Drosophila melanogaster: one gene and its partners. The protein of the gene in region 3 interacts with the protein of the main gene of each other region in a pairwise test. Each region holds a gene or a part of one and is shown on either strand. Other genes may lie near its edges.

The links.
Region 1: the proteins of CG13074 (region 3) and RpL15 interact in a two-hybrid assay, tested with the Drosophila melanogaster proteins (one large-scale study listed by BioGRID).
Region 2: the proteins of CG13074 (region 3) and Pvf1 interact in a two-hybrid assay, tested with the Drosophila melanogaster proteins (one large-scale study listed by BioGRID).
Region 4: the proteins of CG13074 (region 3) and Gapdh1 interact in a two-hybrid assay, tested with the Drosophila melanogaster proteins (one large-scale study listed by BioGRID).

Annotation. Positions count from the first base shown.
Region 1 is NT_037436.4:27,263,850-27,270,906, forward strand, and holds RpL15 (ribosomal protein L15), read left to right. Parts: upstream 1-3,405; 5' UTR 3,406-3,674; exon of another isoform or gene 3,675-3,742; 5' UTR 3,743-3,760; coding exon 3,761-4,069; intron 4,070-4,104; exon of another isoform or gene 4,105-4,174; intron 4,175-4,242; coding exon 4,243-4,548; 3' UTR 4,549-4,596; downstream 4,597-7,057.
Region 2 is NC_004354.4:18,828,708-18,836,967, forward strand, and holds the start of Pvf1 (PDGF- and VEGF-related factor 1), read left to right. Parts: upstream 1-3,974; 5' UTR 3,975-4,239; intron 4,240-8,260. Other genes in the region: CG7101 (uncharacterized protein), read left to right, coding at 1,956-2,436, 2,516-3,093.
Region 3 is NT_037436.4:16,091,544-16,099,100, reverse strand, and holds CG13074 (uncharacterized protein), read left to right. Parts: upstream 1-1,607; 5' UTR 1,608-1,611; coding exon 1,612-2,435; intron 2,436-2,508; coding exon 2,509-2,785; intron 2,786-2,845; coding exon 2,846-3,039; exon of another isoform or gene 3,040-3,044; intron 3,045-3,097; exon of another isoform or gene 3,098-3,099; coding exon 3,100-3,160; 3' UTR 3,161-3,333; downstream 3,334-7,557. Other genes in the region: ATPsynbetaL (ATP synthase, beta subunit-like), read right to left, coding at 1-552, 709-1,103, 1,167-1,197; ClC-c (chloride channel-c), read right to left, coding at 3,905-3,995, 4,059-4,272, 4,331-4,494, 4,553-5,113, 5,179-5,396, 5,453-6,085, 6,142-6,345, 6,403-6,569 and 1 more.
Region 4 is NT_033778.4:7,787,677-7,794,929, reverse strand, and holds Gapdh1 (glyceraldehyde 3 phosphate dehydrogenase 1), read left to right. Parts: upstream 1-1,549; 5' UTR 1,550-1,809; coding exon 1,810-2,808; 3' UTR 2,809-3,029; downstream 3,030-7,253. Other genes in the region: PolZ1 (DNA polymerase zeta subunit 1), read right to left, coding at 1-149, 208-455, 513-757, 815-1,044, 1,103-1,234; CG12824 (uncharacterized protein), read right to left, coding at 3,933-4,051, 4,105-4,237, 4,294-4,373, 4,432-4,528; CG12825 (uncharacterized protein), read right to left, coding at 5,042-5,157, 5,218-5,353, 5,430-5,509, 5,572-5,674; CanB2 (calcineurin B2), read right to left, coding at 7,169-7,253.

The DNA of each region.
Region 1 (7,057 bases), about 11 Mb from region 3:
AAAAGCAGTGCAATATCTGGTCTAGTTAGCAACAACAAGCCAAATTTTAAGTTTTACCACAACATGATCAGAAACATAAAGAGTGCAATGTACGCACCTGGCTCCTTTACAACTGTGGTAAAGTGATCGGTACGCCTCTTTAGAGTCCTGATCTGAACCCCATTGAAAATTTGTGGACCTACTTCAAAAAGAAGGTGGCAAAAAGGGCCCTGAAACACGACAACAGCTTATGACTGCAATAGTCAAATAGTGGGAAAAGATACCGCTTAAATATGACCTCCAAAAACTTATCTATTCCATAAAAAAAGTCTCCAACTTGTAGCCAATGACAATGGGGAACTTACTACATACTAAAACTTTTAAAATTTTAATGAAATAATTTAAAAATTTAGTATTATACTTCGATTTAGTGTTTTGTGTAGAGTTTCTTGATAGTCTCAAAAGTGTGTAAACTTGGAATTTGTAGTTTATTTTCTGGTATATTTAATATTTTCAATTTGTTTAAGTAACTTTTGATATAAGTAACTTTTGATATAAGTATTATAAGTAAAATAAATACTGTTTAATTATATTTCATAAAAAAATGCGTTTAATTAAGCAAAGAACCCTTAATTTCTACCTTTAAAGACAAAAATTCCAATTATTTCACAGTGTGTACAGTGACAAACTGTAATCATAATAAAACACAAACTTTGACTTACCTCCGCGCTGTCTGAACTCATTTTACCCAATGACAACATGAAGAATTCTGAGCACTCTGAACTACTATTACTATCATTGGCTCATTCATTCTTTAAACGCATTCAGTGAGTTCATTTAGATCGGAAGCTTAAAAGAGAACGCGGCCAACTGAATGGCATGCATTGTGAATACGCAGTGAAACGAATGAATACTCTAATTGAAAACAAAGAGAAGGTGTTATGCAGCACTCTAATATGTATGTCGCGAGCTATGTGGCACTGGCGGTATTGCAGTAGAAGTATTGCCACTGAGGAAAGAAATCAGTTCGACACAAATAATCGGTACCCAGGGGACACCACGGAATTATTTGACCTTCGAATCGACTTGAAATATTATAATGTCAAACATTTCCATTTTCCCCAATTTAGCTATTTTTCTAACTATTGCTTTTCATTTTTATTATATTTTTTTGTCGTTTTTGGCATTTATTAATTATTTTCAGGAGTCAATTATTTAAATATCTTTTTTATTTTTCTCTATCAACTATTACAGTCCACTTGCTATTCTTAAAAACAAAACATTTATAATTTTGTTTAACATATCCGTTTTATACGCATAACATTCATTCTTTACATAAAACCATAATGAGAGAGCACTACTTTTATTTGTGCGCTTAATGCATTGCTCAACAAAAAATATTTTTGTATACAGTATTTTCATAAACTTTTATGAGTATTTTGCAAATATTAAAAAATATATCAAAAATAGATACGTATCGCAATTACTATTCGAGCTTTCATTTTTGTACTATACTATTAAATATTTAATAGTATATATTTATATTTATATTTATTCAAAATGACTTTTATTGAAAACAAACTCGGTTATTAGCGAAAATTTAAAAAAAAAATCGAGTAGCTCTGCATATAGTAAGCTTTACTCAAACGGATTAGAGAAATTAAAAGGAAAATTAAAAAAGTTTTCTTCCCACCATCAAATTGGAATATAAGAAAATAATTCTACTGAATCTAATTTAAATTTAAAATTTAAAATTTAAGTCAAAAGACTTAATAAATATTTTACATAATTAAAGCATAGACAAAGGGAATTATTATAACTGCTGTAATTTGAATAAATAAATAAACCATAAATTTAAAAAAAAAGTCAGTACATTGAGAAAAAAAATATTTCATAAAAATAAAACATAGTAGAAAATAAATAAAAATATGAAATCTGTTTAGTGCAAAAGTTATATCTGGAGGCACTGAGTGCGGACACAAGCTATCATCAATCATTGTTGTCATAATTTCTCACACCTCGCAAACGTAATACTCTAATTTGTGACATTTAAATAGATTCGGTTAATACTACAATATTTCTATGCTATATTTAAATAATAATAGCACTAAGGCAATGCAGAGAAAACATATTTCACATGATGCCAATTGACCGAAATTATTATAGTTATTATTATAAATTAGTTATTATATAAATTATTATAGTTATTCTAGTGCCAGCAACCGGCTGCAGAGCTCTCCGGTCTCTGGCTCTGACTGTTGTTATTCTAGTGCCTATGCAAATAACATTTGTCGCTTATGAAATTGGTTACTTTCAAAACATTTTTAAATCTGAACCTGTATATCGGTATCAAAAATATAATCGTGCATGATCCGGTAATCGAATTCGTATGAATTTTATGATTCCGCTTTTGGTCGTAAACCAATTTTGACTTTTGTCTGGCCGAAATGTAAAAATGCCTTTTAATACCCGTTATTTGTAGAGTAAAAGACTTACTGGATTCGTTGAAAATTATGTAACAAGCAGAAAGAGCGTTTACGACTATACAAAACATATTATTGAACAGGATCAATAGCCGAGTCGATCTAGCCATGTACGTCTGTCTATATGAACATCGAGATCTCAGCATACAGGTTCTAGAGGCAAAGACGCAGCGCAAGTTTGGTGACCCGCCCACTCTAACGCACGCAAACCTCCAAAAACTGGCACGCCTACACTTTTGAAGAACGTGTTGTTTATTTTTAACATTTTAATTATTTTTATAATTTTTTTTATTTGCAACAAAATTTTTTCGCACTAGCTGAGGAACGGGTATCTGATAGGCGAGGAACTCGCCTCCGATGTGACAAGCACACATTTGCTGTCGACAACAACAAATTTCGATTTGCTAAGGTGTCGCTAAGTACGTCGTCAAAAGTTATTGCGGGAAAACGAAACAGGCAGGTAAAAATATTTATACCATATATTAAAATGCTTTCATTAAAAAATAAATAAAAACTGTGAAAAATGGGGTAGCTATTTTGTATGAAAAACAATTGCAAACAGCAATTTCTGCGTCCGTCTGGCTTCAAAACAAACGATTTCAAATATATAAAGGATATCTTCACGTTGTTTGATTTTGACAAAGAAAAAAGTCAGTTGTTTGAGCAGCAAGAAACGAAATAAAGCGAAATAGCATAGAAATAACGCATAGCACTATAGCAAAAATTATTTGAAAACCAGAGCACCTAATAACGAAATTAAAAGACTTTTCCCAAATCGAATGCGATAAGATAAATTAACATGGAACGGAACATGCTGGGATGTTTTAAAAATAATACAATTCTGTGAGAAAGGGGTATAATTCCGTTTTACAATGTTTCATGCATTAGGGTAAGTATATCCCAAAGCAACTCTGAGCTTGTTTGTCGTGTGATCCAACTCATTGCTTCCTTCTTTTGGAATATTTCCGTGCTGTAAGTTGGTTGTGCATTCGGGTCAATAATTTTTCTTTAGTACGAGATCATTTCGGAAATAAGTTTATATATTATTTTCGGTCCTTTTAAAATGTTTTTAAGTTTGTATGATGATTTTTTCCATGCACCACTCTGAGCTCAGTGTAGATTATGGATATCTGACGGATGTTATGTTCGTTTTTGTACTCACATTGCTATGTAACATTGATACGAATTATTATCTGTTCTAGATTGTAATATGTACAGTTTAAGAAGTTGATGGACCGATGATGTGACAGTTATAAAATAAATAATGAATTTGTTACTAGGTCTATCAAATTGCAGAGATGGGGGCTTATCGGTACATGCAGGAACTTTATAGGAAGAAGCAGAGCGATGTGATGCGCTACTTGCTACGTATTCGCGTTTGGCAATACCGCCAACTAACGAAATTGCATCGTTCGCCAAGACCTACTCGCCCGGATAAAGCAAGACGTTTAGGATACAGAGCCAAACAGGGGTTCGTGATTTATAGAATCCGTGTTCGCCGCGGAGGTCGCAAGCGTCCAGTTCCCAAAGGATGCACTTATGGCAAGCCGAAGAGTCATGGTGTAAACCAGTTAAAACCATATCGTGGTTTGCAATCCATTGCTGAGGTAAGAAAAAACGAAATTTGCTAACCACACGTTCGAACAAGTTGATGACAACCCCTTTTGACATACAATATATGTTGACATTAACTTCCTTAGATGTCTGAAATATTCTTGTCCAATTAAGAGGTCCTCACCAAAAAACACTGAAATATATCATGAATTTTATTTTCTTGTAGGAACGTGTTGGTCGTAGACTTGGCGGCTTGCGAGTTTTGAACTCGTATTGGATTGCGCAAGATGCTTCTTATAAATATTTTGAAGTAATCTTAATTGATACTCATCACAGTGCTATTCGTCGTGATCCAAAAATTAACTGGATCTGCAAGCATGTCCACAAGCATCGTGAATTGCGTGGCCTTACATCAGCTGGAAAAAGTTCGCGTGGCATTGGCAAGGGATATAGATACTCCCAGACAATTGGTGGATCTAGGCGTGCTGCTTGGAAGCGCAAGAACCGTGAGCACATGCACAGAAAACGATAAATTGTGAAGCATTTATTTTATCGGTTAAATAAAGCACTTCGTGCACGCAAAGAACATATCTAAAAAATATATTTTTTGAAAAGAGCTTTTAAACGCAAAAATAGATATAGTAACAGGTTTTCGCATTTTTGGTTTGGCATATTGGTTTATTAGGAATTTTGGTTTAAAATATAAAATTTCTTTCATCTACATTAACTTCCAGTTTTTATTTTCAAAAATGTACTAAGACCATTTTTCGGCAAGACTCCAATTCTTTTACAAAAAATTTTAAAATATATGCAAATAATCCCTTTTTCGTTTAGCGGATCTAACAAAAAAGTACCTCAAGGTTGAGCAAAAAATCTCATTTGAACGACGATGGGCACGCAAACGTATTTTTGCTTGTTATAGCTCTTCTGCTTCATATCTAAAAAATGCCATATCGAAAGATATTGGAAAATGAAACAATATTAAATTTAAAAAAATGTTCAAAAGCGAGGGCGTGGTTGTTTTGGGACTTATGTAGGTGTAAGAACGGGCGTGGCGGCTTGTATTTAAATAATATTAAAACGTTTTTTGAAAAGCTTAAGCGTGACAACATTCGGAAACACAATTGCGCTGCGCTTATTGTGTTTCTGAAAGCTGCAGGCTTAATCTCAAGATTTTACCCTTTATAGTTCCTAAAATCGATACGTTCATACGTTCAAACGAGCATGGCCAGATGGACTCGGCTATTGTTCCTGATCAAGAATATGTGCATTTTATATGGTTGTAAACGCTTCCTATTACCTGTTAAATTCTTTTCAACGAATCTGGTATAACCTTCTACCAAAGACACTAGAATAACAAGATGCGTAACGGCCATACATTGCTCTCTGTCCGCTCGCTTACGCTTACGCATTAATCTATTCGGTTCACTCTACTTTGGAAAAACCTGAAAAAAATTAATACATTTTTTTCCATTTTTTTTTTAAATTTAAAAATAAGCCTTTAAATGATGTAAAAAGCCTTGTATTATGTGGTTTAAATAATACAGTGATAATTAAGCATCGATGTGCATGGGCGGGCACTAGCTATGAAATGAATGACAAGGGAGACTTAATTGCAGGGCGATCTGCAAGAGTTCGGGAGCCATGATGCTCCCTCAGCTTATCTACATATGTATACATATATGTATGTTCATAGATGAGCATGGATTTGGACAATTATGTCACCAAAGTTTACAATAAAACAATTTCAGAACTGCTGGCGACTGCGAGACCAATGAGTTCCTTAATTTTTGTAAAATTGTTACATATAGTGCAAATCGCTCTATTTAGATTACGATTTTCCTTTAATTGGCAAGTTCTCTAATTATACGTTACTCTTAGAAAGAGTATAAAGGTTATAAGGGTATTAGCTTCCAATCAGTATATAAATGTTGATTTTTTTGTAGTGTAAGTAGATTACGAAAAGCGGAGTATCTATAGGCAAGAGTTTTCTTAAAAAACATACTTCGGAAAACTTCTGGATGTTAATTTAATATTAATTATACATTTTTCCTCTATGATTACCGCCAACTCCAAAAGCGTCAATAAAAAGTTAATTTCCTTTTTTCTTACAAAAATTAGACAACTACATCATATATAAATGAATTAGTTACTAGTGTTATAGAGTAACTAAAGTTGCCGTTTAACGTCCCAATGAAAGACGGAGCGATTATTTCGTTACAATTTTATTTGCGGAGACTGAAGCTACCAGTGAAACCGCAACACATATCGTTGCGGATTAATGTTCATAGCGGCCACGCAAATATATGCATATATAGCATTATGCATACTTTGAAGAATGCGGTTTCTGTCGCTTATTTTATCTGGCCGTCCGCGGACGTTAACTTTAGTTGGAGGACGCCCTCGGCCGACCTGATTCCGGCAATCGCCACATTCAATTGCCTTGTAGCTCTTCTGGCCCTTAGGATACGCCAGCTCACGAGGCCAACGCAAAATAGCAGACAACATACTGAAGCCATGACAAGTGCCACCTGTTGTGGGCGATCAGCGTCGATCTCTTCCTTGAATTTCCGGATTGTCTCCAAATTGCTTTCACTCAGGCGATGAAGGTAAGGGAGGCTGAGCACATTCTGCGCAGTGCGACACGCCGCCAGCGTGGAGCTCTCTGGCACATGAGCTGCCCGACGACAAGTGACAAAAGGCGGTGCTGTTCGAAGCCGTGCAGTCCAAGACGGTGTAGACTTCGTTATTACATTCAGCGATGACGTTGTTGGTGATTCGCAGCACGACTCCTTGGTGGCTAACGGGGAAAATAGTAATCTTTTTGTGGACTGAAGCACTTTTACGGACAACACGGACATGAGGTCTCCTATGGGGGTGTTCGTGGGCTCCTCAAGCCAAAGTCTGCGTGATCGAGAATATTCGGGATAACGATATTTTGAAGCTCCATCATAAGCATTCTATTTCTCGCCAGAAAGGTTTCATACAAATGATTGGAGTCAATTTGTGACCCCTTTGCCGTCTTGAGAATTACGTTGACT
Region 2 (8,260 bases), on a different chromosome or scaffold from region 3:
GCGAGCCGAGCAATTAAAGAGTTAAAGAATAAAATATAAAATGAAAAATTCAAAAATACAGATACAAGTGAAAAATAAAAAAGGAAAAAAAAAAGAATACCTAATGCAAACCGAACAAATCAGCAGCAGCAGCAGCAGTTCCGAAATTGTTGTCGAAATATATAATAGCAGCTTTTAGAACAACACCAAGGAAGTTGTAGTAAATGCGGAGGAAAATTGTATTGTTGTTGTTTTTTATGTACATTTACTTTTTTGTATTACCGTTGTTGTAAGTCAAATATGCCAAAAATGAATAGTTTACTAAGAGTTTACAACAAAAGATTCAAATGCAGGCAAGATATGAATTACTTTAAACGCAAATCGCAAGAACAAGTTCCGAATGTTTTTAGTAGTCAATGGAGAATATCTTTTAATCGCTTACACTAAGTGTTCCCATGCATATTTATGGGTTCCTTGCCGAAACAGAAATCTTACATAAACACAAAAATATAACACAAGAGCGCGGCTGTCGACTTTACTCCACCCCGGTACTCAAAATGTTCGAATAAAAGTGTGAATAAGTTACTAAATCATTGCATGCAACAAAGAATAACTTTAGCTAATGGATAATCGTGTTATTAGATCGTATTCAATTGTTACCTGATTTGATCCCATTTCGCTTTTATTGAACGTTTGATGTGCATTTAAGTGATTACCCCCACCCATAGCATTCTGCAAAAATCGTCCCAGTTGATAGAAAATGCAAATACAAGATCATACGTTCTCGATTCAAGTGTTTAACTTTAAAGTGCATTTTTAATATGAAGAAGTTCTGTTACATTTTTGTGATGATCGAAAAAAGGTCTTTTTTAGAACTGGCTGCGATTTTTCGATTGTAGTGTTGGAATTTCGAAACCAAAAATGTTGCTTGTGTGTTTAAGTTGTACCATTGTGTTATTTGAACTTTTGAGTATCGGATGAGCATAGAACTAAGGAACCATTAGAGGTCCGATGGATTGATTGAGCCGCCACAGCGCCATTTTGATAATAAGAACAAAGAATTCGATAACTATGTATGTTTAATGGATTACATAAGTGTGTACTACTTCACGCGTCAGGTGGGTGGCATTGCCCTGCAAATATTTACTTTAATTTCTGGATAATTAGTGCTCACATCACTGATTAGAGGACAGGAATGCGCAAAACAATATGCTTAATACATAAGATTCCAGAGCTTTTAGTAACGCCATGTAAATTCTGGGTCATGAATACAGTTGTGAAGATTGAAGATTGTAACCGAGGCGTTTGTTATTATGTATTCAAGTCATTTATTATAAGTGTATACAGCTTATACTATTATAAAAGTGTTAAAAACATGAATTATTTTGAGAAAAAAAACCCAAAAAAGAATATACAACAAAATGTTAGTCGGTAAATGAAATCAAATGTAAAACAATTTAATGTAGACTGTACTAAAGAATTCAAGGAAATTTGAATATCAACACTCCATCACGCAAATAACTAAAAGGAAATTCGCTAATTGAATAGAAGTTGATGGGAAAATTATTTGCACAGTGCAGAAAAACGTGTTATAAAATTATTATACTATACAAAAACTATATATTATTGAATTATGCTGATGAAATTAAAAACCATAAAAGTATGTAAAAAAAATTCAAATACAAAATGATTTAAATGAAGTACAATAAATATTCAAGTGACGAAAATGTACGAGCGGGCTCTTTTCAATGGGAATATGAAGAATTTAATTTGAAAATGTTTGATTTTTGTTTTTGAACACTTCGGTAAGTAAATGTGACCGCTTATTGATATATTCTGTTCAGCTTTCGCGCTGCAGTCACACTTTTGGCTTCCCGGCACTTGCGGTCAATCGATAACAAATCGCGCCTTCCGATATCGATAGTCAGCGAGCAGTTTTGCTTGTAACAACAATTTTAATTGGACAAGCTAAAATTATGGAACCGGTGCCCATCCGGCCAAAAGCGCCGGGAGCGAGCAACCGCGGAGCCCTGCCGCTGGCGGCGAAGAAGCCGGCCAAGAAGCGTACGTACCACTGCGGCGTTTGTTTTGCGGAGTTCTCTCGTCATCTGGCCGCCAAGCGGCACGAGCAGCAGTGCTCCGTCAGGGTGAGGCGTCTTTTCGTCTGCCCCCACTGCCTGACGCTTTTCGGCGAGGAGGCCCGGCTGGAGCGGCATCGGGAGCGAAAGCACAACGATGGCCAGTTCCTGTGCCTGCAGTGCGGCAAGAAGTACGCGTCAGCCACGTTTCTTTACCGTCATGTTGCCAGTTGGCACGGCCAGCAGTCGCTGTTCTACTGCGACATGTGCACGGACAACTGCAACGACGTTAAGACCTTTAGCGGGATGCTGGAGCTGCAGGAGCACGCCGAGGAGGTGCATCGCCTGCGTACCCTGAAGTCCACGGCCAGTGATGCAGGTAGGTATTCTGCTTACGAGTAGTTGTGATGTTAATGGCATACCCTGCTTAATAATACTATTCAATCCGATCCCTGCAGACAGCCAGGTTGATGAAATGGAGGATCTTGAGATGCTAGAGGAGAACATTGAGAACATACTGCCCAGCATCGACTGGGACGACGATCTCACCTTTGGCTGGCCCACCGACCTGGACAAGGAGTCGTGCATTGTGAACGCTAAGCCGAGCGTTTTCGTGTGTCCCTTCTGCGCCAACGGATTCCCCGGCAGTCTGAGCCTGGTGCGGCACCTGGAGCAGGTTCACGAACGCAGTGCCCTGGACTGCTGCTACTGTGGCAAGAGCCATGGCAGCCGAGAAGCCCTGCGGTCCCATCTGCAACGTGTTCACATCCTCTTGCGCGGTCATGTGTGCGGTATTTGCCAGGCGGACTTCGCCACTGCTGATCACCTAAAGAAGCACGTTAACAGTCTGCACCTGGACCACCGACCGCATCTGTGTCCCACGTGCGGAAAGAGATTCACCCAGCGGTGCCACCTCACCGATCACATAAAGACGGATCGCGGCCATGGACACGGCACTTACACCTGTGAATTCTGCGTGCGGCCCTTCTTCCGGGCCATCGATCTCGAACGGCATGTGTGTGAGGAACATCCGTAGGGCAGTCAACCTAGCCGGAATCGTAGATACCTGAGCGACATCTCACGTCCAGAACTACGATTAATATATACTTAAGCAATGGATAAATGTAACGTTTTAATAGCGTTAATATTTTGAATTTATATCCTAGTCATCGGAAATGTTTTTCCAAACGAACTTGAATTTAAAATCGTATTTTATTTTTTGCTGTAAAATTAATGCTTATGAGACGATTTACATTTACATCTTAGGAACTATAGACATAAGCGAATAGTTACTTTAATATAGCAAGCAGATGGCTGAAAGACAATGTACTTATATGAATAAAAAAATATCAATACATGAAGTCAGGTTAATAGAAACGGGCACAATTGAAATATTTTCTAAGGAAAGTTTGAAAGAATGAAAGATTGCCTAAAGAAAGTTTACAGATTATTGCTGCGTAGTGTTAACATAATGTAAAATGTCACACTAAAATGAATACTTTGAAAATAACGATGAAATAGTGCAGCTTTATGAGTAATATTTATCATCACCACAACACTGATTAATCAGATAATATACTCCATTTCCACCAATAGACAGATAATAGAATGTAACATATGTATTGTTCATGTTGCTCTATATATATTTAAATTTAAAATCTCAGCGAGCCTCCTGAGCGAGGGTGTGCGTAAGTCGAGATCGCGCTCTCCCAGCGTTAACTGTTAACAGTGAAACCCATCCGCTCCGCTCCAGGCCCCAAGATCGGGAGAGTAATGAGCGGAGCGGTTCGGTTCGGATTGGATGTGAGTGTTGCGGTACAGAGCGGAGAGCGCAATGCTGCGACAGCTGGGTACTGTTACTGTTACTGCAACAGTTACTGCTACTGCTATTGTTATTGGCGACTGTGGTGATAGGGGCGCAGTAACTTGGCCCACACCGACGAGTCGACAGTTTTGAACGGAACTTGCTGGTGCTTGGATCGCAGCTCCGCCGATCTCCGCGAGGCTAACACCACAAACTTAAACGCGCTCAAATATATATCACAAATTATTAAATACAAAACCCCCCATTTGTGCACACATATTTTTTGTTGTTTGTTTTTCGTTTCGTGCTAACCGATTTGTGCCATTGAACTTCGTGTAAAACATAATATTTAGAATTTTCAAGCCGTGTTTCCATAAAGTAAGTGGTGCTTCTCAAAATTTCAACATTTCAACACAAATCAGCAGCGTAAACAAACAAGCCAGCGACCCTCGACTACATCTAACATTTAAACTGAAACTGCTTTTTGTTATTGTTTATATGGTTTTCCACTTCTGCCCCACTAAAGCCGGGCCTTTTAAAAAGCTCTCCACAGCGCACAGCCTTTTGTTATATATATGTTTTTTTTCCCCAATAGCTTTCGAGCAAAACCAGAACACCATTTTATCATTAACAAATGCAAAAAAAAAAAAAACCAAACAAAACAAAAAAGTACAATTGCAATTAACGTTTTTTGATCTGGCTGTTGAGTTATTCCAGTGGCTGTGTGGAAAACCCAGTGAAAATGTTGCGCTTGAATTCCTAAAAACAAAGTCTAAGCCGGGCTTAATCGTTATTCAAATCAAACTACGTCAAATCGCGTGCGAATATAAGATTTGTGAATCACAAATGAAAGTGAACTTGGCTTAAATGTAGTCGCTGCCTTAAACTGCAATATATCAAGTTGTTTATGATCGAGTTATTGCGGATAAATCGTCAATAAAGTTCAATAAACTAATGCTGGCAATGTGTTCAAAGTTCCTGTTTTTTTTTTTTTTTTTTTAATTTATAACATTTTAGAACAAAAATGCCATTTTTAAGAAATAATTTATTTTGAAATGCACATTTGCGGGTTTTCATTAAAAGAAAACACGTTTAATGATAATGTTTGCTCACAAAAGTCACACATTATATATTATGTGATGAATATTAAAATATTATAGTAAACGTTTCTAATTATAACGTATATTGTATGAAACAACTGGAGAACTTTGATATCCTAGAAAGGAAACTATACCTTGAGCAAGTGACACCTTCACTAAACTTAAAAAAGAAAACAATTATTTTAGATATGCCCTAGTTTTTTAAAAACTTGTTCATATTTCCGCCTTCCAAAAGTTGAAATCGGTTAATCTTAGACTCGCATTCCAGACGTCGCCGTTGACCCGATCCCTTTGGGAGCCCTTTGGGAGCAAATCCATAATTTATCTTGTAGAGCTTGTAGAACCCACTGCCCATTGTCCATTGCCCATTGCCCTCCTGTTGGTCCAAGTTTTGTGTTTTCTTGTTTGTTGTTTGCTCTACTGCTCCCCCGTCTACATGGGCCCATGGATGCAGTGGAGTTATTATCATGTCTATATTGTAATTGATTTGCCTGAGCGAATGACCAGACGGGAAGACAAGCTATGGGCCTGTTCCCTGATCTGCCACGCCTCCGCCCGCGCCGCGCCCGCGGTCTTATCATTAACGCTTGAGTCTTCCTTTTGTATTGGAATTCTTGTGCGGGGAGCAATTGCCTGGCGGGAGGCACTCCCTTCGCGTAATTAAGGACCGCCCAAGTGGGGATCGCGATTCCGAGATGATTCCTTTTGGTTCCTCGCCTTCTCCTCCTTGAGATTACTTGATATGATTTGATATCTTCGGGTGACGCACCGGGAAGGAATGCCTCGAAAGTGTGAGAATAAATACAGCTGACACCTGCGCAAACTAAATACAGATCATATGGGTATCGTCTATCGACTATATGATACCTGAGGCATGGATATATGCATATGATAGCCTTATAAGTTTAATATTCCTAAAGAAAGCTTGTAAACAGTGGCTTGATTGCGTTTTTTGAAACTAAATGCTGATCAGATTTCGCCAAAGTTAGCATACCTTTTTTTAGTACAGGGTACTAAAAGCAATCAGTATGAGGAGTAACAAAAGCCTGTCGCTTTCGCAATAAGTACATATTCGCATTCATATATATAATTTAAAAACGTGCTTAATTTTGTAATCTGCCTTTCCCCCTTACCACTACTCCCATCTATCCGTCTCCCTGTGGTCGATCTGTAATATCTGCGCTGACGAAATGCCTCAGTAGCAACAACAACAAAAACAACAACAACTGATAACTGATAACTGACTAGACGCACAAGTTAACCGTTGAATCGGGTTAAAGAGACCTTCGATGTGACAGGTTGTGCAATCACCAGCGGCCCACCCGTCGAACGAACATCCTATAGAGGTTTTAAGAATCTGCATTATATTTTGAATCTTGTTTTCAGTTTGTAAGATCTATTGAAATTCTTTGCAGATAGATTAGTAAATTACTTGATATCTTTTTAATTCCAATTGAAAATTATTCCGAAACTGTTAAGCTAACAGCTGTTACTCCACACAAAGCTTGTGCAGCAGCCGCCAAAAAAAAAAATAAAAACAGAGCAACAACAACAAGACGGCACAGAGGAATGTCAAGATGAATCACACAGGTGTGCGTGACACCTGGCAACAGAGAAAGAGAGAGGGAGGGAGAGCGATGAAAAGAATAACAACGTTTGGTCTGTCATATCAATCGGTATTTGCTTAACTGTTAAAAAGAGCCAAGAAATGTAAGGAAAACAGAAAGGAAAACAATGATAGCTGAATTCCGTGTGCGTGTGTGTGTGTTGATTGCAGCCCACAAATAAACACTTGTGCACCCATTGCACCTAAAACGCAAGTGCAGAAACATACACACAAATTGAAACTCCCGAGGAGTACCGTTACAAGGCGAGCTTAAAGCTATTTTTAACACCATCCGATCTTGCTCTCCTTCCCCACCCCTTTCCACACCCCTCTTACCCATTCTGCTATCTCCTTTCCTGTGTTGTTTTTTGCACCACTTCTCACTTTGCTTTTCTTCGTCTTGCCCTCATACACTGCACGAAACCAGGATCACTTTAAAACGCTTTGTCCGCATATTCCACAGCTTTGTATTAGAGAAATATAATCAATTATGTATATACATATAATGGGCATTAACCCATTAGTCGGCATCTTCAAAAACTTTCCACACTTTGTTATGTGTACAAAAAAGTTCATACAAGTATTTCCAAAAAACTTTGTACGTTTTAATAAAGATCATTCCAATTTGCCAGTTGCATTATAAAAGTTATTTGTATAGTAAAATAGGCTCATAAAGCCTCCTTAAAAACTTGCATCCAACTATTTTTCTATCATGGTATCATGTTCAGCAAAATTTCATTCGCCGTACATCCAAAATTCGATTAAACTGAATTTAAAATGAAGTTGGTTACCCAAACCACTATTTGTTTATATCTATACTAAATTAGCGAAGCAAGCTCTTGGAATCTAGCAGTCCATTTTTTTTCCAGACCCAATATACATGTATGTATGTACATTACATATGTATATATTTTCCGATCCATGGGGGAGCATATGGCTATGTTTACATCTTTCTCACTTCTTCGTCTTCTATTTTTTGTTTTGCATTTTAATGAATGAACGCCTTTTGCGATTTTACAATAGCCATTTATATTTTATTTGCTATTCACTAGGCTGATAAAGCGCCTTGACCAGCACGCTATATACAAATCTGTATATTTATGTATGTATGTATGCATGTGCATTTAGTATGTTTTACTGGGACTTATCACTATCACTAGGCGTGCGTTACGTTATCGACAGCCCACGAAGAAGAAGAAGAAGAAGAACAGACTGTGCAGCTGAAAGGGAAACGCGAACTGACCTATAATAAGAATTTTCATATTTAAGCAGTACGCAAGAATAAGTAAAAAAGAATAAGAACAAGGGAGCGACGAGAATAAAAACAAATAATAATGAAATGCATTAAATGCGAGAGCCACAGTGGAGCCGGCACTGGAAATAAAATCATTGGCTTAACAGCATAAGAAGAAGAATTCTTCTGTTCGAAAGCAGAACGCGAATTCTGCAGTTGATTAATTTTACCTATAATTTCATTTTCGACCAATTATTGCACTTTTCCTTCGAGTGCAACATAATCAGTAGCTGAGTCTTACTTTTCATATGCAGGAAATATTAAACTCCCTACGCACTTAGCATTCGAAATAGAGTTTGAAAGACAGGAAACGAACTGAAGAATTCCCGCTTGAGTCTTCTAGATTGCTGGCGATTACACAAGAATCCTGCCGCCTTTTGACTTGGCTTCGAGGGCTTT
Region 3 (7,557 bases):
CACACGGGAGCGAGCGCCCGGGGGCTCGTTCATCTGGCCAAAGACCAGAACCACCTTCGAGGAGTCATCCTCCAGGGAGATGACCTTGGACTCGATCATCTCGTGGTACAGATCGTTGCCCTCGCGGGTACGCTCTCCTGCGCCCACGAACACGGAGTAGCCGCCATGGGACTTGGCTATGTTATTGATCAGCTCCATAATGAGCACCGTCTTGCCCACGCCGGCGCCTCCAAACAGCCCGATCTTACCGCCCTTTACGTAAGGAGCCAGCAAATCAATCACCTTGATGCCAGTGACTAGGATCTCTGGCTTCACGCTCAAGTCGGTCAGCTCCGGGGCTTCGTTATGGATAAAGGAGTAGAAATCCGACTTGACCTCACCGCGATCGTCAATGGGATCGCCCACCACGTTGAGGATGCGTCCCAAAACGGCCTTGCCCACCGCCACACGGATGGGATAGCCGGTATCGAGGACCGGCTGACCACGACGCAGTCCTTCGGTGGAATCCATGGCCACGCAACGGACGATATTGTTGCCCAGATGGTGGAATACCTAAGAAATCGATTAATAGAAGTTAAGTTTAATAATTTTTAAAACTTTTCGAATCTTTAGAAGTTATGTTAAAATCCGTTTTAAAATTTTAATTAAATATTAGATAATATAATATGAATGTCGTCCGTCTTAAAATTGGTTAATCCTTTGACTTACCTCCAGCACTAGGTTAGCAATGGGAGCATCCTGCACCTGGAGCGCGTTGAGCACCTCCGGAACCTCCTCCTCGAAGTAGACATCGATGACGGGACCGATGACAGCATGGATGACACCCTTGCGACCCTTGCTCTCCAGCTTCTTGCCTCCGCCGTCGGACTTCTTTTCCTCACACTCATCCTCGGCTTCATCCTTCTTCTTAACCAGTTCCGCGTCCGTCTTGCAGACTTCCTGCGGCTCGGGCTCGCACTCATCGCCCGACTTTTTCTTATCCTTGTCATCCCAAAGGGACAGGGAGGCATGAAGGTAGCGGGGAAACACCACAGGATTACCAAGATAGTTGCCCCGGTAACCCCCGGTACCCGGGCCCATCTTCAGGCCAATCCTTGCACATGCTAACATGGTTTTTTTCATTTTCAGAGGAAGCTGGTCATGTGAAATAGGTTCATTCTTCTTACCTGTAGCCATTTTAGCCCATGATACCAACATTTTTACTTTAGTTTTTTATTCTTTCGCTGCTTGGACGTCTTTGCTGCAAATAAAACTTGCTTGTAATGATAGATTCCTTTGACAGATGACAGCAATGCCTACTATAAAGGATTCCCTTAATGCACTTTAAATGGGTTGTCACCTATTTATTTTTTAGGGATATTTGCTTTCTAAAACTTCTTAAAAGTTTGCAATATAAATCCTAAAGTTTTCTTAATTAATTAATTAATATAATATGATTTCTTATATTTTAATTTATTTTCAGGCTGCATTAGATTAAGCTTGGATTCATAATCGATCCTCAGATATGTTTTCCTTTAGCTCTATTTTAGGGTTGAGTCAGTTGGTTTCCAAGGATACCGATAGCCACAAAGCTCTGAAGCCAAAACAGTAAGGTTTTCAAGCTGATGGAAAATGGACGTACTATCGCATTACAGCTCACCCATAGTTGAATTTCCGGCCACGCAGCCTTTGGAGAAGCAGCATGCCCTGGTGGACAACTGTACGGGCACCGATCCACCTCCTCCCAGCCAAGATGCCGCCACAGGAACGCAGGAGAAGCTGCATGTGGCCACACAAACAGAGCAACGAGTAGTTAGTAGTAAGGATGTGGAATACGATGAGAGGGCTTTGGCGAAGTGGTTGCGACAGATCTGCCCCATGGTCGAACGGGAGCTAATGAATCCCACGCCTCTGATGGAGGATCTAACGATGAGCCAGTGCCGCTTGGAGGAGAAACTGCAGGTGTACACGTACCAGAAACTGATAATGGGTGGTGCAGAAAACTCGCAAGGACTGGCTATCTGGCTGTGTGTGCATACGAATAACGCCCCAGTTCTGGTGGCCACCACTGTAGCTCCCCATGATGACTGGTGCGAGCATGTGGATCAGCAGCTAAAACTCTTTGTTCCCCAAAGAATGTCCGTTGGCAACTTGGTGATTTATACAGAGGCCAAAACTCTACCCCTAAAATCCTGTTTGCGAAGTCTGTGCACAAATCCGTTCAACAAGACCATGTTCGCTGGTTCGACCATGGACGGAGAGCTCTTCATCTGGTTATATGAGCAGGCGAGGGGTTCCGATTCCAGCGTCGATATCAAACAGCTATACAGTGTATCCTCCACCCAGGGAGCTGCAGTGGCTCTGGACTGGCCGCGGGAACATCTTCTGTTGGCCTGCTTTGCCAATGGCAGCGTTCGCCAGTGGGATTTAAGCAGGCAGATGGCTCTGGATTGGGAGTGAGTCTCTCTAAACACTAAACGAAACATTTCCCGGCATTAATCTTAAATATTATTTAATTAACTTCTCCAGATACACCCTGCCCGCAACGGTTAGCTCAGAGCCTACGGCAATGGTGACCCTTGGTCTGGATGACTTCGTCGTGGGCACTAACGATGGTGGCGTCTATCGCTGCTGGAACACCGGCCGGCAAACCGCAGCCATCAAGCAGATCAAATTGTTGGCCCTACGGCGACATCGATTCATGGTTTCCACCCTCCTCCGTACCGAAATGGAGGGCAACCTGTTCGTCCTGAGCTGCGATCTCAGTGGACAGGCCTTTTATCACGATATGCGGCTTGTGGATGAGGTGATAACATGACAAACAAACGAGCTGAACACTATTTATTTTCTCTTAAATAATGAACAGGACATGGCTCAGTTGATAGTACAAATTCCACTTCCCTTTAAAAACGTAATCGCCTGTAGTCGGGATGGCAACATCATCTTTTGCCCAGCCAATGATGGGTCACTGGAATACTATAGGGTGAGCGATGGAGCCCATGCCCATGTCAAGGGAGGACTTCGCGGCAAGGGAAGCCTTATCCGTAGTAGCGACAATGGGTGAGCTAATAACGAAGGAAATCAATAAAACAACAAATTTGAATAATAATTATCTTACAGACGCTGGTTAATTGCAGGCCTCTATGGCGACGAGTTCCAGATATTCTACGTAGAACACTAAATAGTCGTATTGAATTTTGTTCTCAGTTTTGAAATAATCGCTTGTATTTGCATGACTGCTTATGTTAATATGTACGGTTTTATCTTCTCTTAGGTTTGGTATATACACAATTTTATTTTAAAATTTCTCAGATCTCTAACAAATACCACATGTAAATATAGACTATGTATTGTATAAACAAGACATTTTATCTGTGTAGAATTTTGAACAAAATGCAAAAACGTAAAGCCATTTCGAAAATTTGGCGTAAAATAAGACTGCATTCTCTGTGGGAATCTCGTTAAAACCGCGTTTTCACATACGATTCACAAAATAAAATGTTCCTTTTACAACTATAGATCATTTCATAGTGTTATCAAGCTGTATGTGAACATATAAAAAGAAATATGCTGTGTGTAGAAAAGTGCTAGAATGACATAATTACAAAATGGCAATAAATGAATACACTAAACTTTTATAACCATTTGCCTACAGTAAAATAAATTATACAATTAACATTAACGAGATATATGCGATATATAAATATATAATAGAACTGCACACAATTTTGCTAAATCTCTCACGTCCGAACGTCCGATCCTATCTGTCCTAATCACGCGATTCCACTCTAATCCATTTCAGTCCACTTTGCATCCACTCGTTCAACTTTTCACTTAAGCTTAGATTGCAATCTGCATTTTGCACATAGTTCACATAATAATAACTAGAAGCAGCGCTCGCCCAACTTCTGATTGGCTGATAAATTCAGTTGAAGAGCACCGTATTGGGATCTTCGTTATCCATCTGCTTCACATGGCGCAGCACATCTTTCTTTGTAATTACGCCCAGTAGGCGACTGCAATGGAATTTGGATTAGATAACTTGAAACTGGTTAAACTGCTTCTGGCCACAAACTCACCCGTTGTGTGTTACCAATGTTTGGCGCAGTCCCAGCTTTCGGAACATGTCCACTACCGTCTCCATTGGCGTTTGATCTGTAACTGTGATCGGTGCCATATCCAGGATCTTTTTCAGCTTCAGCGGCTGGGGTCCCAGATTTTGAATAGGCTGGGATGATGTGAATAATACTATGGAGCTGCTGCTAATGCCCTCGATTAGACGCTTGGCATTGCCTATAAAATTTGTAATATTTAATTATGCAACATGATCTCGAAACAAGTTGTGACTGACCTATGGCCAAGTTAAGATCCCTGCGCAATACAAAGCCCACTAAATATTGATTCTCCCGCGACACCACCACCGGATAGCCATTGTGTTCCGTTTCTTTAAGAAGGTTCTCAACATCGTCCACCGTCATGGAGTCTTGGGTAATGACATTCAAAGTTTCATTCCGCCTAAAATGAAGTTTTTGTTAGATGATCTTGAGGAAAAAAAGGTTTTCTTTATACATACTTTGGTTGCATCACATCTGCGGCCAGTGTTGTATGCGCAAACTCTTCTTTGCTGTCTAGGAACGGATAACCATTCAGCGCAATGTGCGCATCGTAGATACCTTGCCTGCCCAGAGCATCACCCACCCACTTGGAGGCCATGGCGGCAGCCATCAGGGGCACAATATACCGCACTCCGCCTGTTAGCTCGAACATTATCACTACCAGGGAGACGGTCATTCGAGTGACACCTCCCAGCACAGCTGCTGCTCCCACAACCGCATACAGTCCGGGTGTGATAAGATTGCTGTCCGCACACTCACCGGTAAAGAACCAAATATTGGGATAGCTGTAGGCAAACTGCTCCACACCGATTCCAACAATGCGACCCATGATGGCGCCAAGGAGCAGGGACGGAATAAACAGACCAGCGGGCACTTTCATGCCAAACGTGAAGATGGTCAGGGCCAGTTTAAGTATAAAGGTGAGCATAAGCAGCCAAATGGAGCTGTACACACCAGGACCTGGCTCCGTAACTTCAATGAAACTGTTGCCCGACGTGATGTTCATGCGCTTGTAATCACTATAAGGAAATATGTAGTTATTATAAAAAAAAAATAAAAAATAATTATTATTGAAAAAACGTACCATAACGGATTGGTGACATCTCCGGGTGAGCACTTGCTAACCAATAGGAATATTAGCTCGTTCATGTTCATTCGGGTAAATGGATTGGGGTAGCAAATGATGGCAGTGACCAGGGTAACGAAGAGCACTTCCATTACTGGATACTGTCCGAGCTTGCTGAACTTCCTGTAGCGGCACCACCACAAATTGGCCTTGATGAAGAATGTGCCAATAACACCCTACAATAAATATTATGTTAATAAATTGTAGAGCTTCAAAATTAGTTCAGATTTACCCCCATAATTCCGAGGAAAACAAAAGGAATAAGTTCGAAAAAGATCCAGGGCTTGTTATACTCCACGAAAAAGAGCACGGAATGCTCGTTGCCAAACGGCGTCAGTGATCGTAAAACGAATGCGGCAATCAATGCACAAAAGAATGAACGCCACAATGTCTTCAATGGAAAATAGTATGACACTTCCTCCAGCGAAAAGAGAACTCCACCGATTGGTGCTCCGAAGGCCACCGAGACGCCTGCCGCTGCTGCTGCCGAAAGAATCTCACGCTTCTTGGCCTCATTTCGACCATATTTTGGGAAAACATGTGAGAATATGTTTCCAATACAACTGGCAATGTGGACCATGGGTCCTTCCTTGCCCAAAGTGAGGCCAGCGGATACAGACAGCATCAGACCCACCGATTTGATCAGCAGCGTCCACTTTCCTAGATAGCCGCGTATAATGAAGCCAGACAAGATGGTCTTTATCTCGGGAATACCAGATCCGCAGGCGTAGGGCGCAAACATTCGCACAAGGGAGGCGCTGAGCGAAGCAAAAAGCAAAGCCCACAGCACATACCAGATGTAAGCGACGATATATGGTCCGGTGCCATTTCGATCCAAACCAAAGATCTCTGGCCAGGTTTTCCACTGAAAATAAATGCGGTTTTAGTGCCTTATCAGGAAGAAAATGTAGTTTCACTCACCGTCGAGCAGTTGCCTTCTTCAAATACTGACTGTTTGGCCGGATAGCAGCATTGTTCCCTGTTAAACCAAAAGGCGGGTGGACAAATGCCATGCTTTAGATCCGACATCCAACTAGCTCCAATGTCCACCATGCCCGCCACACAGCCTGCGGCAATTCCGACGAGTAAAACACATAGCCAGCCAGATCCGGCATCAATGGAACCCTTTAAGTAAAATGATTGATAAGTATGGTGTGTTTTGAATCATAAACGATCTTATACCTTTATCAGATCCCACAAGGAGTCCTGTCGCTTCTTGACTATGTAGCGATGTCGCATCCGATCACGGGCAATGTCCCGCTGCCAATCAATGGTGTGAAAATCTTCGTACTGCCCAATGCCAGGAATATCATCTTGCACGTCCGAGGAACCATAGAAGGATAGTGCTCCTATAGCAATAATAAATAATACAATAAACATTACGGATTTGACACAGTAAGCTCCGAATCATGTTGTCGTAGTAGCATTACACGTGATTACGCTAATTCTAATGGTTTGGTGTCAAAGTCCAAAGAGAACCAGAGCCTTATAACCGCAAAAATTTATAGTATTTTTCTCGTGTTTCATTCAGGTATCGAGACGAAGAACGTTTACGTTTTCTTAAACAGATTCCTCGAATAAAGTTCTTACAGATATTACTCGTTCTAGCGTATTGTAAACATTGATTGCTATTATCATCAGATATACGATAGTATTTACCCAACAACTATAATTGATTCTTTTTCGTTTAAATAAATAATTCCCAATAGAAATGCCAGCTGGTTGTTTAGACAACTCAGTGATTATATTGCTAAATTAGCATCACGTGTGTAAATGGTGATTGTATTAATATACGTATGTACATATATCATGAAGTTAACTGGTGTCTCCACAATACATGTCTGTATGCTAATGATTGTACATATTAATTGAATTGCCAGCGAATGAGTACAGCTGTGAGCCGAATATTCGGAACCGGCAATGCGGCGAGGTGACGTCGCCTTACTCAAATGTTCGTGATCTTGATTAACACCACAGACAGCAACATTGGATGTTTTACGCAATGGATCTCTCCGAACTCACCGTCCATAGGATCGCCGAAGGCACTGTGAGTTGGCACATGCTGGTGCATTGTCCGCTGATTGTGGTGATTGCCGCCGCCGTTGCCGCCAGAGTGTCCGAAATCTCGTTCGGTGTCCGATTCGGTGGCCGTTTCCCGGTGATAGCCACTGCTGCTTCCTCCTCCTCCGCCGCCGCCGATCACATCGCCTGGACTGGAGCGGGGTGTGATGTCAATCATATCCTCGTCGTCGGTGCCCGCCGCCGTCAGCGAGGTGGTCAGTTTGGTGTGCTGCGCCAGCGGATGGTCACGAAAAGTTCCGTCTAGGTCGCCGTCGC
Region 4 (7,253 bases), on a different chromosome or scaffold from region 3:
ATTGTCTGATCCGACAACGTTTGCTCGGACAGTGTGGACTGCTCCAGTGTCATCAGCTTGCTCTCCAGAGCGGTGCGGTAGAAGATATCGCTTTCGGCGATTTCAATTTGATGCCGCTCCTGTGTTGGCGGTAACTCCAATACTGGCACCTACGATGGATGGACAAGGCTGTAGGATTTATCAATACAAGATGTATTCCCGGATTACCGCTTCAGCCTTCTCCTCATCGCCAGCATCGGTGTGCTTCTCGACAAGTTTCTGTCGGCGCAATTTCTCATCATTCCAGATGGCCTCGATGCCGGGGTTAGTGTGGTTGCTCTTACTCTTCGCCACCAGCTGGAACCGATTCAGTATGAAGTTCGAGCTGACATCCACCTCTAAAGCACTGCAGGCCACTTTCTTAGCGGTTGTGATGTCCAGAAGCTGCGCTTGCTTGACATTTGCATAGGGGATTACTAAAGGGTTAGTTACGGGTTAGTTAGGAACTTAAATAGATGATGTATCCAGCTTGCCGTCATCGTCATGGTTGCGCCGGAACTTGAGAACCTCCAGCGGGACATGCACATAGCTCATACCGTACAGATTGTAGTCGATCATAAACTGCAGAATGTAGGGCACATGCGACTCGTGCGGACTGAAGTTCTTGCTCAGAATGGCGCCGCTTTGGAGAAGGTTGGCGGCGCGGCGTACGAACCGGGGATTGAACATGTAGATCTTGAGGAACTGGTGTTCCACTCGATGGTAGCCATAGAAGGGTCTGTAAAGAGAGGTCGGTTAGAGATTTACGCCAAGAAGTCGTCCAGAAAGAACTCACATGCCCTTGACCAGCTGAATTTTGAACACATGCTGGGCGTTGGAGCTGCCTTGACCCAAGGATATGTTGATGGCCTTGTCCAGGTGCATGGCCATCTGCAGGATGCCCCGCTCCAGGGACTCAAAATCCTTCTTGTCATACGGAATGTATAGATAGGGGAAAACTCCGTGTACATGCATGCAGGTCTTCTGGCCTCTGGAGTTGCCGCCAAACACTCGAATCACTGGCACCTGGAAGTGGAATGGATCGTTATACCAGTTTTTACTGTGGTGAAATAGACCGGCTCACCCGCTTGATTTCTTTGCCGCGCAGCTCCGAATAGCACGGATCCATTCCGAACTGCGGCTTCTCCATATAGAAATCCGCGATGACCAGCCGGACGGAGTAGACTCCATCGATTGCCTCTCCTGCGGCTGCCATTTTCGCCAAAACTCAGATTCGTTTTCGCAGAGCTATTTGTTGTCAATTCAATTCAAACTAGAGTGACCATGTATCGAAAAGTATCGATCTATCGATTGTTGCTTTTTGAATTCAAACTAAGGGCAAAAACGTAAAATAAATATTTTTAAATTGAAAGAAGAGCTCTAGAACTTAAAGAACTAACTTGGCAACAATGTTAAGAAAAACTTTAGTGCAAGATGAAGGAATTTTATACTTGACAATGCTAATTTTTGTATAAACTTAATTACGTAAAGGGTCCTACAACCCATATATATCATTAGTTGTTAGAGGCTCTTTTTAAGGCGCTTATATAATCAAACCCTTTGTAAAAATTAAAGTTTTAAATGGAATTCTAATCGATTTATTTCACATTAGCTTTATTTAAGTGTGACCTACGCAGAAAGCTAGCGAAATACTCATCAACCCTCCCCCGCCATCGCAGCGCCATTCTCCTAATTTGCGAAAAAAGCTCCGGGAAAAGGAAAAAGCGGCAGTCGTAATAGCGAACTGAAACTGAACGAGAGTAAAAGTGAAAAGACAGCAGGAACTCAGCCATGTCGAAGATCGGAATTAACGGATTTGGCCGCATCGGCCGCTTGGTGCTCCGCGCCGCCATCGATAAGGGCGCCTCCGTGGTGGCCGTCAACGATCCCTTCATCGATGTCAACTACATGGTTTACCTGTTTAAATTCGACTCGACTCACGGTCGTTTCAAGGGCACCGTTGCGGCTGAGGGCGGATTCCTGGTGGTGAACGGCCAGAAGATCACCGTGTTCAGCGAGCGCGACCCGGCCAACATCAACTGGGCCAGTGCTGGAGCCGAGTATGTGGTGGAGTCCACCGGAGTGTTCACCACCATTGACAAGGCGTCCACCCACTTGAAGGGCGGCGCCAAGAAGGTCATCATCTCGGCCCCATCCGCCGATGCGCCCATGTTCGTGTGCGGCGTTAACCTGGACGCCTACAGCCCCGACATGAAGGTGGTCTCCAACGCCTCGTGCACCACCAACTGCCTGGCTCCCCTGGCCAAGGTCATCAATGACAACTTCGAGATCGTCGAGGGTCTGATGACCACCGTGCACGCCACCACTGCCACCCAGAAGACCGTCGACGGTCCCTCTGGCAAACTGTGGCGCGATGGACGTGGCGCCGCCCAGAACATCATCCCGGCCGCCACCGGAGCCGCCAAGGCTGTGGGCAAGGTCATCCCCGCCCTGAACGGCAAGCTGACCGGCATGGCTTTCCGCGTGCCCACGCCCAATGTCTCCGTTGTGGATCTTACCGTCCGCTTGGGCAAGGGAGCCACCTATGACGAAATCAAGGCTAAGGTCGAGGAGGCCTCCAAGGGACCCCTGAAGGGAATCCTGGGCTACACCGATGAGGAGGTGGTCTCCACCGACTTCTTCAGCGACACCCATTCGTCTGTGTTCGACGCCAAGGCTGGCATTTCGCTGAACGATAAGTTCGTCAAGCTAATCTCGTGGTACGACAACGAGTTCGGTTACTCCAACCGCGTCATCGACCTGATCAAGTATATGCAGAGCAAGGACTAAACTAGCCAAAACTATCGTACAAACCCGGCGCCCAGCAGCTGGTCGGGAATCACTGTTGCATAATCCGCAAGGGGCGCAATTGAGGATGCTTTTTTTTCAAATGCACAAAATAGCCATAATTACGCAAAGCTACATATTTATTGTTGTTGAATAAAGTATCGCCCTGTTACTGTATTTAAATGCCAGCTATTTGAAAAATAAAACTTGTGCATCGAATGAAGAACGTTGCTTGTGTAAGCCCAAGGGCGTGTGAAGGTTATATCGGGCGGACTTGCTGAGATATGCAGTGAATACACAAATAAGTATCTGTGCTTCGCCTGGGAGAGTCATCCCAATCCCAAAGGAACGATGTTTCTATTTATGTACATACCATATGTATGTATGTACGTTTGTTGTTGCCAACTCTGGCAGTCTCGAAATTCGAAGATAACGAACAAATATATTCTCTTATCGCTGCACTTTGAAACCTGTGCGGATGCTGTTTGTTTGTCTCGGATTTGGATTCTTCGGCAAAACAACATAAATACACATAACGACCAATTGAACTCAGACCATATAAACTATATAGCTTATATATACTTTATACTTTTTGGTGGATAAAGGGTTTGTTTTCATATATCGACCTGCGTTCTTATACAAAGCGGCTTTCTTATGAGCATAACCAAGGTCACGAAAGGTCATACACATATGCTTGCTGCTTGGTACATAGCTTATCGGCATTACAGAATTGAATCGATTAGCATCAACCAGGGCTGCAAAGAGCGGGATATTTGAAAATGCCGTCATTCTAAATTTCCAAATGCTAAGCTTAAGATATTTTTAAAAAATATGTAGCTTTTATTATTTGAGCTATTTCTGTTCAAATTATAAGGCTTAATAGAATTTCCATTTAACAATCATAAAAATATTGATGGTAAATCAAATGGAAAAGTAATTTCAACAAATCAAACTCTCAGTATTAATTTGTATATTATAGAATGTAATATATAAATACAATAACACCACTAAAAATGCTCTTCACCATATTATATATAATTATTGCATTTAGTAAAGACAAAATATATAACCATATCTCAGAAGCATCATGCTTTTGATAAACCAACAATTGTAAATGGCAAAATGCATCATATGGGATTCACCAAAATACTTTTGACTTGCATGTCGGCATACTTCGGTGGAAGCCCATCCTTGCGCATCCTGCGGAAGGCCTTCTGCACCGCATAGAATGCCATTCCGAGGCAGCCTGAAAGTAGTTTTTGGATTTATTGAAGGACGAAGTTAATCTCTATATTGTACCTATCATTGGCGCTGCGCAAAACATGACGATTAACCAATCGCCCATGGCCAGCAGCACAATGGATGAGTAACCCATTAAGTAGAGGAACATGGCGGTTGTGATCATCCAGGGCACGAAGAGCTTGTGCCTCTCCTGCGATGAGAGAATGTGGGTGAAAAATTGGAAGTTGCATTGGGAGTATGGCCGACCTTGATGGCTCCGCCGATGAGTACTGCGCTGCTGATAATCTGCATGGACGCTATGTGAACTCCAAATGCGTAGGATAATTCTGCGGGGAAACTGGTATTAGATGTGCTGGCTCTTGAACTTTGACCCCCGTTCAGTACCCCTCAAGTTGGCGAATATGATGAGGTAGGCGATCGCAAGGCAGATCGATGCAGCCCCGGAGCAAATAATGCCCGCCTTGGAGTCCGGTTTCCACATTTCCAACTCCTCGATGGGCGTTTTGTTCGCAAATGATCCATTGTTCCATTACTAAAAAGCTTTTTTTAATACTTATCTAATCAGCCATTGCTTTATATACAACGCATATACATAAAAGCCTTTGTGGGATATATAGGCACCGCAAAAGGGATAATAAAATTGTGCATCATAGAAAACAAGCTTTGCTAAAAGCCAAATGATAAAAGTAAAAAAAAAACAGAATTACCTTTGTCAGAGATAACAGAGATGTGAGCTGGAAACGAAATTTCGCAGAAAAAAGATAACAAATATATTTTCAGAGCACACTGAAAATAATAGTTCACAAAAGTGATTGCCTTAAAGTTTATAGTTCCCATTGCAAATTGTAATAAACTTTAGAAAAGTTTAAATTTACACCGATTTCTTGTGGGTTTGTTTCGTTTGAATAGCACTTAAAATGAGCTTTTATTTTCCAGCTATCTGATCTACCTTTAATCTTTTTTTTGTTTGTATTGAAATTGCTTATATATGTATCTATATGTGATTGATGAACTCCTTCTTGTCGGACAAGCTGGCATATGCCGGTGGCTCCTCCTTGCGCATCCTGTCGAAGGCCTTCTGCACCGAGTACAGGGCGCAGCCCAGATAGGCTGAAAGTGAAGGATTTTGGTTAATTGGCTGTCCAATCTCTGGCTGCGTTAACTCCTCACCTGTGAACGGAACGACCATCAATGGTCCGAAGATCCAAGCTGTGCCCTGGACTATCAGTGAAATGAACAGGTTCACCATCAGGTATAAAAAGAATCCTGTGGTTATCATCCACGGCACGAAGAACTTGTGCTTTTGCTGTATGCAGCAAAGAGCAGAGCAAAGAGATAAGAGATAAGAGTGTTGTGGACTGTGCACAGTGTGCCTAACTAACCTTTATGGCTCCAACGATGAGGACCACGCTTCCCAAGATCTGCAGCGCCGAAATGTGTATTCCCATCTCGTAGAGTCCATCTGAAACGAAATAGCTCTATGCATCGCAAAGATATCCAAGATTGGTATGTATATGCGCCTACATTTCCAGAAGTAATCGTCCATCAAAACCAGATAGGTTATGGCAAAGGCTATGGACAGGCAGCCCGAGCAGATGATTCCTCCTTTGGTGTCCAGCTTCCACATGTTTCCAAAATCGCAGAGTAACTTGCAGACCGCCGATTATTTCACAACTAAACTGGACGGGAGTATTCATGGTGGTGATGGGTGAGCAGGCTAGCTTTTGCCGCAGACCTTATCTAATCTCATATTGTACTGTAGCTCCTCCACCAGCGCAACAACAATTGAAGAAAACCTTTGTTGGTTAGTGTATAATTATAATTTTATTGAAGGATTCGCTTATTATTGCTTCGACTGGCCAGCTAACTGGGCAATCCATGCGGGCCTATCTATCGATGGGTTCCCAACTTGTGGCTACACCATTTTACAATGAGATACGACCTCGAGTCGATTACTTTGAATAATGCAATGGAATTTAATTGATTAGCTAACGAATTGAGAGTGGCGAGTGTGCAAAAATTTGTTAATTGTAAAATTTGTAACATGCGTTTTACTATTTGGTTTTCTTGCATCTTTAACTAGTATAATTAGGTATAAAAAAATGTTACTGCAATATCACCGCACGGCATTGCTTCATATGTATGTTTTGATGTATAATAACTATTCGATTTTCAGTTAACTCGCGTTATAAACTGCAAAATGTAGCGTATTTTAGAAAACGTTCGAGGCGTTCTACGTTCTGCGTGAGAATCGTTGATTAATTTGAGTTAAGTGGCGTTAGAAATTGGTTAAGATAGACTTAAGAAACTTGGCAAACGTCGCCTTCCTCTGGTGTTATCAAGTTAGTCAAGATATATAAAAATACGTTACGTAGGTTATAACATTCGATTAGTACAAGTAGGTATGTATAAATATATAAAAAGTACACAACGTGTAAATAAGACTAAGTCAATAGAGGAGACCTCCTTCGGGCAGGTTGCTTAGCTGCCCCGCGCATCTGTCCTTTCTCATCATAAGCACTTCATATTTCGATTTGTTGCATTTCGATTGGTTTTGTTGTTTTTTTTTTTTTTTTTTTGTTTTGTTTTTGGCAAAATCACAGGAGAATTAGAAATATAACATCAATATGATAGAGCGAAAGTGCATTCGATAGAGCATTCGTTCAACTTGGGTTGCTTTATTTGCCTTTGCTTGCACGAACTTGGATTCCGCCTTAGTTAAGTTTAGTTTTGCTTCTGGGGTTTTTGAATTCTTTAAATGTATATTTGTATAATAAATTATGACTATATATGCATTTATATATAAGTATATAGATGAATATATTTAAGAAGTAAGTAGGAGGCGCATTATTCCACTTTTCAACTTAGGATAACAACATTGCATTCGCGATTTCTCCCTAAGCCTTCGATCGCTGTACTGACTGACTGGCTGGCTGGCTGACTGACTGACTGACTAACTGAACTGGCTCGCCAAAGGCTCATAACAATATTTAACTATAGAGAATCGCCGATCAAAAATAATAACCATATGAATAGTGGTGATAGTGACAATCGAAGGATGCCGACGTGTATAAAATAAATAAATAACATCGCGTAGAAAAGGATCTGCGTTAAACCTATTTTAGACATCGACTACCATCTTCTTGTGAATGTCCGTGTTGCCGACCACAGAGCAGAACTCATCGAACGAGATCTTGCCATCCTCA